2 linked regions of the Canis lupus familiaris genome follow. The protein of the gene in region 2 interacts with the protein of the main gene of each other region in a pairwise test. Links are inferred from orthologs where the notes say so. Each region holds a gene or a part of one and is shown on either strand. Other genes may lie near its edges.

Region 1 (3,635 bases), on a different chromosome or scaffold from region 2:
TATTGGGGTATGGTTCCTCTTCTGTCAGGAAAAGTGACCACCTGCCATCGCATCATGCTCATAGATCCTAAAACAGGTCTTTGATTGGAGATCCCAGTGCGGGGGGGGGGGGGGGGGGGGCGGGGGGAGGGAGTCAGCAGTTTAGTGCCTGCCTTTGGCCCAGGGTGTAATCCTGGAGTCCCGGGATCGAGTCCCACATCGGGCTCCGTGCATGGAGCCTGCTTCTCCTTCTGCCTCTCTCTCTCTCTGTCTCTCATGAATAAATAAAATCTTAAAAAAGATTTTAAAGAAACTTCAAAGCACATGGCTAGGAAGTAGCCATTCATTTTATTCCTAGAAGCTCGTGAATCCGAGAATGGTCCCGGGACACACTATTTCCCTGTTGCTTGGTTACTCTGGAGACAAACCCCATCTCCAGGGCGCACAGCATTCCCAGGGAGGTGGAGGCACTACCCACGGTGAGACAGGCCACAGGGGGCCTCCTCGCCACCACCATTACGCTACTAACTTTGCCGACAGAGGGGAACAGGCTTTAGAAACACTCACTGGCATTAGATACAGGAAGAACGCCCTTAGTTTAGTATTTACACATTAGACACATTAATGACACCACATCATTCAGCCCCACTCCAGAAGGGTAACTAACTCTCCAAAAACCTTTATTTAATAAAACCAGAACATCTGATGGTAAACTAATAACACAGACTCAAATGTGCTAGATGCAAGACGTTCAGGGGGCTTTGCTTCTCTCTGGCACACATGGGCAACATGTGTGCAGAAAGCACCTGCCTCCCCCGTGTCCGACTGAAGGGGCAAGTTCAAGCTGCTGCTCAGGCCAGGGCCGTCGGGGTCTGAGGTCTCCCTCCGTCCCGGTCCCGAGTGCCCCACACCGAGAAGGGCTTCAGCGCCACTCTGGTCACGTCTGCCCCCAGATCCACACAGTCCCCGAGAAGGCCGGGACAGTGAGACCCTGGAGAACCCTGGTAGTTCTGTAAGATTCCTCCTCCTGCCTGTAGCTCCCGCCCTGCACCCACCCGGGGGGAGCTGTGGGGTCCATAAGAGATGGACTTCCTTAAGAAACACGGCTAGGGGCCTGCCTGGGCTGCTCATCCCCGCTGCCCTGCCACCCAAGCACCCGGGGAAGAGAGCCGGCCCACCTGGGAGGCACCCAGGTCCCCGCCCCACACATCTGGACCGCAGGGAGGCAGGAGCGGAGCAAGGGAAGGCCACGGCCACCCTTGCACACCTCGGGCTGGAGCTGGTCACCAAGGCCTCCAGACGCTCTGGGCTACGCGGGTAGCGGTCAGGCTGCCCAGGGCTGCTGGCACCAAGTCTGGCCCTTCGGCCGGCGCTCGGGTCAGTTCAGCCTCGGGGGCCTCCTCCAGGTCGGAGCACGGGTCGTCCCCGGGGCCTGGGGGGCTGGGCAGAGGGGACCCCAGGACCCCTCCCGTGGGCCAGCCGCTTCGCCCGGGGGCTCCCGGCGGCCCGGCCAGGGCGTCCCCCAGCAGATCCCGGAAGCTGCTGCCCTCGCGCAGGGGCATGGACTCGAGCAGGTGGTTCAGGAGTTCTGCGGCGACGGTGGCATCGATGGCCTGGCACGTGGACACGAACGTGTGCACCTCGTGCATGCACTGGATGTAGCCGGCCGCGAAGCGCTCGCTCGCCTCCGCCTGCAGCTGCTCGCGCTCTGCGCCCGGGGGCGGGAGGGAGAGAGCGGCGGCCCGGGGCCGGTGAGCGGCGACTGCGGAGGCCGGGCTCCCCCAGGGGCCCTGAGGTCGCCGGGCGGGGGGTGCCCAGCCCCGGCCCGCCCGCGCCCCCGCCACTCACCGCGCGCGCGGCCCCGCAGCGTGCCCTGCACACGCCGCACCGTCAGCTCCAGCACCTCGGCGTTCTCCAGCTTGGCCTGCACCTGCGGCGGCGGGGCGGGGCGGGGCGGCGCGGTGAGGCCGGGCCGTGCCCCCGCCGCGCCCCCGCGCCCCCGCCGCGCCCCCGCGCGCGCCCCCGCCCGCCCTCACCTCGGCGCCCGCCAGCAGCAGCCGCAGCTCCTGGAGGCTCTCGTTGATCCGCGCGCGCCGCTTCTTCTCCACCAGGGGCTTCCGGGCCTGCGGGAAGCGGCCGACTGAGCCCCGGCCCGGCCCCCCGCCCCCGCCCGCCCGCGCCCGCGCCCCGCACCTTGCGGTCCCCCCGCGCCTCCCAGCCGTCCTCGTGCTCCCGGCCCGCGCGGTCCCGTCCCGGCGCCAGGGGCGGAGCCATGCCCGCCCGGCTCGGAGCCCGGAGCCCGGAGCCCGGAGCCCGGAGCCCGCCGCGCCCTCGCCGCCCCGCCGCGCCCCGCCCCTCTTATAGCCCCTCATTTGCATCTCAATGCGCGGATTGGCCGGCCGGGCTCGGGGCCGCGGGCTCGGGGCGCGCGGCGGCCAATGGGAGCGGCGCGCATTGTCCGGCCCCGCCGCCGCCGCCCGCCGCCCGGCAGCTGGTGGGGCGGGGCCGGCGGGGCCCCCAGCGCGGCCTCCGCGCCCCCGCCGCGGCCTGGGGCGCCCGAGGGGGCAGTGACCCGGGGCGCGGCCGCGGGGGCGCCTCTGTTGCCCCTACCTGAGCCAGGCCCCCGGGTCCGCGTGCGCCGGGGCCGCATCCCTCGGTCCCTCGTCCTAGTCCGCGCCAGGGGCCTCCCGAGGGGCGTCGGGGGCCGGGGGGCCGGGGGGCCGGGGGGCCGGCACCGTCAAGGGGGCTCCCGGGGTGGCGAGCGGCTCCCTGGCTCCCCGGAGACCCCTGCGTGCTGGTCCCTCCCGCGCGGGACTCGACCCTGCACCGCGTCCTGCGCCCGCGCGGGGCCGCCCTGCCCTCCTCGGGTCACCCTTCTCCCGGGCACCCCCCCACACCAGCAGGCCTTTCCTTTCTAACCATCATCGCTGCCCCCCTGAGCCCCGCAGGTCCCCCTAATCCCCTTCACTCCCCCGCCCCCCGCCCTCCCCGCACGGACATCCCTGCCCTCGTCCCCGCCCTTCCCTGCCCCCCCTCCCCCCGCTCCCGCCCCGTCCTTCTCCCCACTCCTGTTCATTCTCCCGGGCCAGGCTCCTCCGCCCCCCCCCCGCCCTCCTCGCCTCCCTTTCCCCCCCAGCACCCCCCCCCCACTGGCCGAGGCCGCCGTCTGGTCTCCGTAACTTGATGCCCATGACAGTTGGCAGCTGCAGCGGCTCCGCTGGAGAAAAGCGAGGGCCGCGCCAAGAGCGACAGGTGTTGGCCGCGCCTTTGTCTAGGCGCGCTTTGTCCAGCGGCGGATGGCGGGTGAGCCTGTGTCCGCCAGACGACCGCCCCCGCCCCCCGCGGCCGCCCATCTGCCAGACCGGCCTCCCTGCGGGTGGGGTGTGTGGGCGGGGGGCCGCGCCCTGGGCAGCACCCTGGGGACCCCGGCTGTTCCCGGCACAGCGAGGCTGGACGGGCAAGATGGGCTCTGGGCAGCACGCCTTGGCACAGGCTGAGCCTCCCACCTGGAACACTCTTCAACACCCCTCCAAGGATCTATCTACTCACTGTTTAGGTCTCCGCCTCCCTATTCCTCTTCCTCCTCCTGGTGGGAGCGCACCTGCCCCGCAGTAGCGCTGCACCCCTACCCAGCCCCACACTACTCACCAGGGACT
Region 2 (3,544 bases):
CAGGAATGAGCCCAACTTCCTGGAATCTGTCCTCTTAACTGTGGTGACAGCTGCAGTCCTGCCAGCCCAGTGTCTCTTCTCAGCCCTGGCCAGCTCCTTCCCTCTGCTGGAGTCAGAGTCCACACCAGAGATGTTACAGAAAAGTTTCCAAAGGGAAGCACCAGTTAAACATCCCAGGTAAAACTGGTGTGTGTTCTGGTTTATTCCCTATTTCAACTTTGCTCAGAAGTGCTCTTCATTTATGGTGTGTTTTAGGCTCATGAATTACTTAACAGGTCCCCTAATGCTTTGGGTCCATGTGCCAGAGCAAAGGGATGGACTTTAGATGTCATTATAGCAGCTTAGTCTCTGTCCAGATGTCCTCTGTAGAAATCCAGTCAGTGTCACAGAGCCAGGCTCTGTCCCTGTGTGTGGGTGACACCATGGCCATTATTTTTCTCTTGTCACCTGCTGAGCAGCTCAGAATGTGCAGAATGGACACATGCAGCTGGAGCTGACACCCCCTTCAAACTTTTAGCCCAACAGGTGTTTGTTGTTTTTTTTCTTTTCTTTTTTTTTTTTTTAATCTCAATAAATAGCACTTTCAACATTTTAATTCTAAGGCCTTTTCAAATACTAATCCGTTTAATCCTCAGAACATCTGCACTGCTATTATTTTGATTTTATAGGTAAGGAACCTGAGGTACACAGAGAGGTTAAGTCTGTTTGCCTGGCTCACACAATTGGGTGTGGGGGAGATGTGATGGGGCACAGGCATGCTGTTCTTATGTCTGTGCTCTGAACTCCTGCTCTGTGCTGGCGCCCTGCTGAATATAACAGGGTAATGTTTTACAAATGTCTTGCTCAGTTTGGGTTGGCTGCAGGTGGCTGGTGGCTTCTCTGTATGAGAAGGTGACATGGAATCTGCTGAGCATCTCAGTATCTCCCGAGACCCAGCACGGTCTGAGCCTGTCTTCCAGGAGCCTGAGATTAGTACCGAGATTTGTGGGTGGGAGGGGTGGAGGAACACCCACCAGGCACCTGACGTCAGCAGAGAAAGGCATTCATGACTCCTAGAGAATGCAGAGAGGTCACTGGGTTTCTCGAGTAGAAACCAGGATGGAATAGCAGAACTTTCACAAGATGAGTCTGAGACTGCAGTCGTCCTGGGTGACCTGTGGGGAAGTCTTGGAGGAAAGGGCAGCTGGCTGGGGTACGTGTGCATGGGACATGGTGGGGAGGGTTGCGTGCATGCGGGGAAGAGGACGAAGATGGATATTCAGAATAGCTTTTAGAGGAACGATTTTTGAAGCTCTCATCTTAGAATTCACATCAAGTGGTGCTTTGTCTTGTCTTCCACACTCCTTAAACTCTTTTTTTTTTAAATGATTTTATTTATTTAGTCGAGAGAGAGGCAGAGACACAGACAGAGGGAGAAGCAGGCTCCCTGCGGGGAGCCCAATGTGGGACTCAATCCCAGGACCCCAGGCTCATGCCCTGAGCCAAGGGCAGATGCTCAACTGAGCTACCCAGGCATCCCCACACTCCACTCATTAAATTCTAAGCTCAGTTTCAAAGTTTGGAGCTCTGTGAGAATAATAAGGTGAGGGGACCTAGAGGAAGGACAGACATAGAGACTCCTCTCTGGGTGTTGAAACTCCCCAGCCCCTCTAACGTATCCCGCCTGGTTCCCCGTAGCAATGGGGTCTGTTCTGGTCACTTCCTTGCTGGCTCCCTCCTGCCCTGCAGAACCAGGTCCAGAATCCACAAACCACCAACCCTGCGGTGGCTCAGTGTGGCCTCTCCCTCAGCAGACCCCACCTCGGGCCTAGCAGAGCCTCTTTGTGCCACAAACCCCTGTCACTTGATTGTTTCTGGTCTTGTTTTTTTGACTGAACCACAGGAGTTCTCTCTAAGAGAGAACCTTGAGCTGACCTTCAAGGCAGGGTCCTGCGGAGTGCCCATGGGTCAGCCTCAGAAGTTAGTGGTCTCTGCTCAGTGCCCCCGAATCAGGAGGATGGTATGATCCTTCATCTCTGGGAGTCCAGATTTCCTAACGCAGGGCTCTTTCTAACACAGAAAGCGAGGTTGAGTAAATATGTGAGCTCATGCTGTGTTGGCATGGAGGGCATTGCCTTGTGGACTCCCTCATGGAAAAGGGAGTGTTTCTGGGACCCTGAGCTGGTAATGTACTGATGCAGGCCGACGTCTTTCTTTACAGAATACGCTTGGGATTCTGTGTGTTTGTCCTTCTTTTTTTTTTCTTTTAACACTCAAACACTTTTCCAGACCCGGGAGGAATTTTACCTTCCAGACGGATTTGTAAGAAGAGCTACAAGAGCGCATTTAACTTCTCCTGTGTGATGACCTAAAATGGCATTCCATTTCTTTAGCACTTGGATCGTGAAAAAAGAAAAGGGAAAAAAATCTGCAGGTGCTGTTTCCTCCTCGGGGGAAGGTTAGTTTGATCTTGCACATCAGCAGACACTGAAGAGATGACACACACACCCCGCGTCCAAAACTAACAACACAACAGTGTTTACCTTGAGCTCTGGCAGGAAATCATTATTCAATCTCGTTTGTTTTATCAGGCAATTCCAGGGCCACACAGATGGGGCCAGCTGTATTGACATTTCTAACGATGGCACCAAGCTCTGGACGGGTGGCCTGGACAACACGGTCAGGTCCTGGGACCTACGCGAGGGGCGCCAGCTGCAGCAGCACGACTTCACCTCACAGGTGATGTGCTTTTCCCCACAGGAATCTCTGAAGTGGCCTGTGTGTGATGTCTTCCTCCCTTCATACCCCGTGGCAGTAATTATGAGGCAGACAGACTAGCCTTAAATTTGAGATACCCATTTAAAACAAACAATAAAAAAACCCCACAAACAAAGCCTCTGAAATGCTTAGCGTGGTTTCTAAAACTTTGTCAGTAAGACCTGTGAGTTTTACTTATATGTGAGTTCACCGCAGGAACTTGTTCAGCAAAGGACATACAGTTTGACCTGCTGTACATATTCCCATCATCTAGTGTGGGGGGTGAGAGGTCATTATTGGATCCACATATAAACAGAGCTTGAAAAATGTGCCGGGTTATCATGAGGAGTCAAGAAAAATCACAACACTCTGAAAGTTAATTCATTTCCCTTGCATAGGGGAGCTTAAAAAATGCAGCAGCATCTCAGTGGTTGCCCATTTTCTTATTCATCCCTCGGAAACTGGACTCGTGGCTGGCTAGATTTATGGAGGTTTGAAATTACAGGAAATGGCAACTTTGTGGGTCATGGAGATGAGTTAGATATCGAGTATCTGAATCTAGACTTGTTCTGGGAACAACGGTGCCATTCTAGGTGTCTTCTGACGGTGGGATTGATCTTTTGATCATTACTCGTGTATAGCTGTGCATAATTCTAAATTTTGTGTCCCTGTTAATCTTGTGGGGAGTCTCTTAGAGTCTTCTCATTCCAGCCCTTTTCTCGGCATGAGTTAGGCTACTGTTTTTGGTCTGCCTTTTAAAAAAAAATAACTTCTTATGGAAAATTTCAGATATATACAAGTGGAGAGA

Evidence for each region.
Region 1: the proteins of TLE1 (region 2) and HES6 interact in binary tests that used the Homo sapiens proteins (3 or more experiments, as listed by UniProt). The link is inferred for Canis lupus familiaris from reciprocal best matches to the Homo sapiens genes TLE1 and HES6.

What each region holds. Positions count from the first base shown.
Region 1 is NC_049246.1:48,991,800-48,995,434, forward strand, and holds HES6 (transcription cofactor HES-6), read right to left. Parts: upstream 2,311-3,635; 5' UTR 2,254-2,310; coding exon 2,173-2,253; intron 2,103-2,172; coding exon 2,016-2,102; intron 1,910-2,015; coding exon 1,828-1,909; intron 1,688-1,827; coding exon 1,263-1,687; 3' UTR 618-1,262; downstream 1-617. UniProt on the Homo sapiens protein: Does not bind DNA itself but suppresses both HES1-mediated N box-dependent transcriptional repression and binding of HES1 to E box sequences.
Region 2 is NC_049222.1:78,254,160-78,257,703, forward strand, and holds part of TLE1 (transducin-like enhancer protein 1), read left to right. Parts: intron 1-2,570; coding exon 2,571-2,718; intron 2,719-3,544. UniProt on the Homo sapiens protein: Transcriptional corepressor that binds to a number of transcription factors. Inhibits NF-kappa-B-regulated gene expression. Inhibits the transcriptional activation mediated by FOXA2, and by CTNNB1 and TCF family members in Wnt signaling.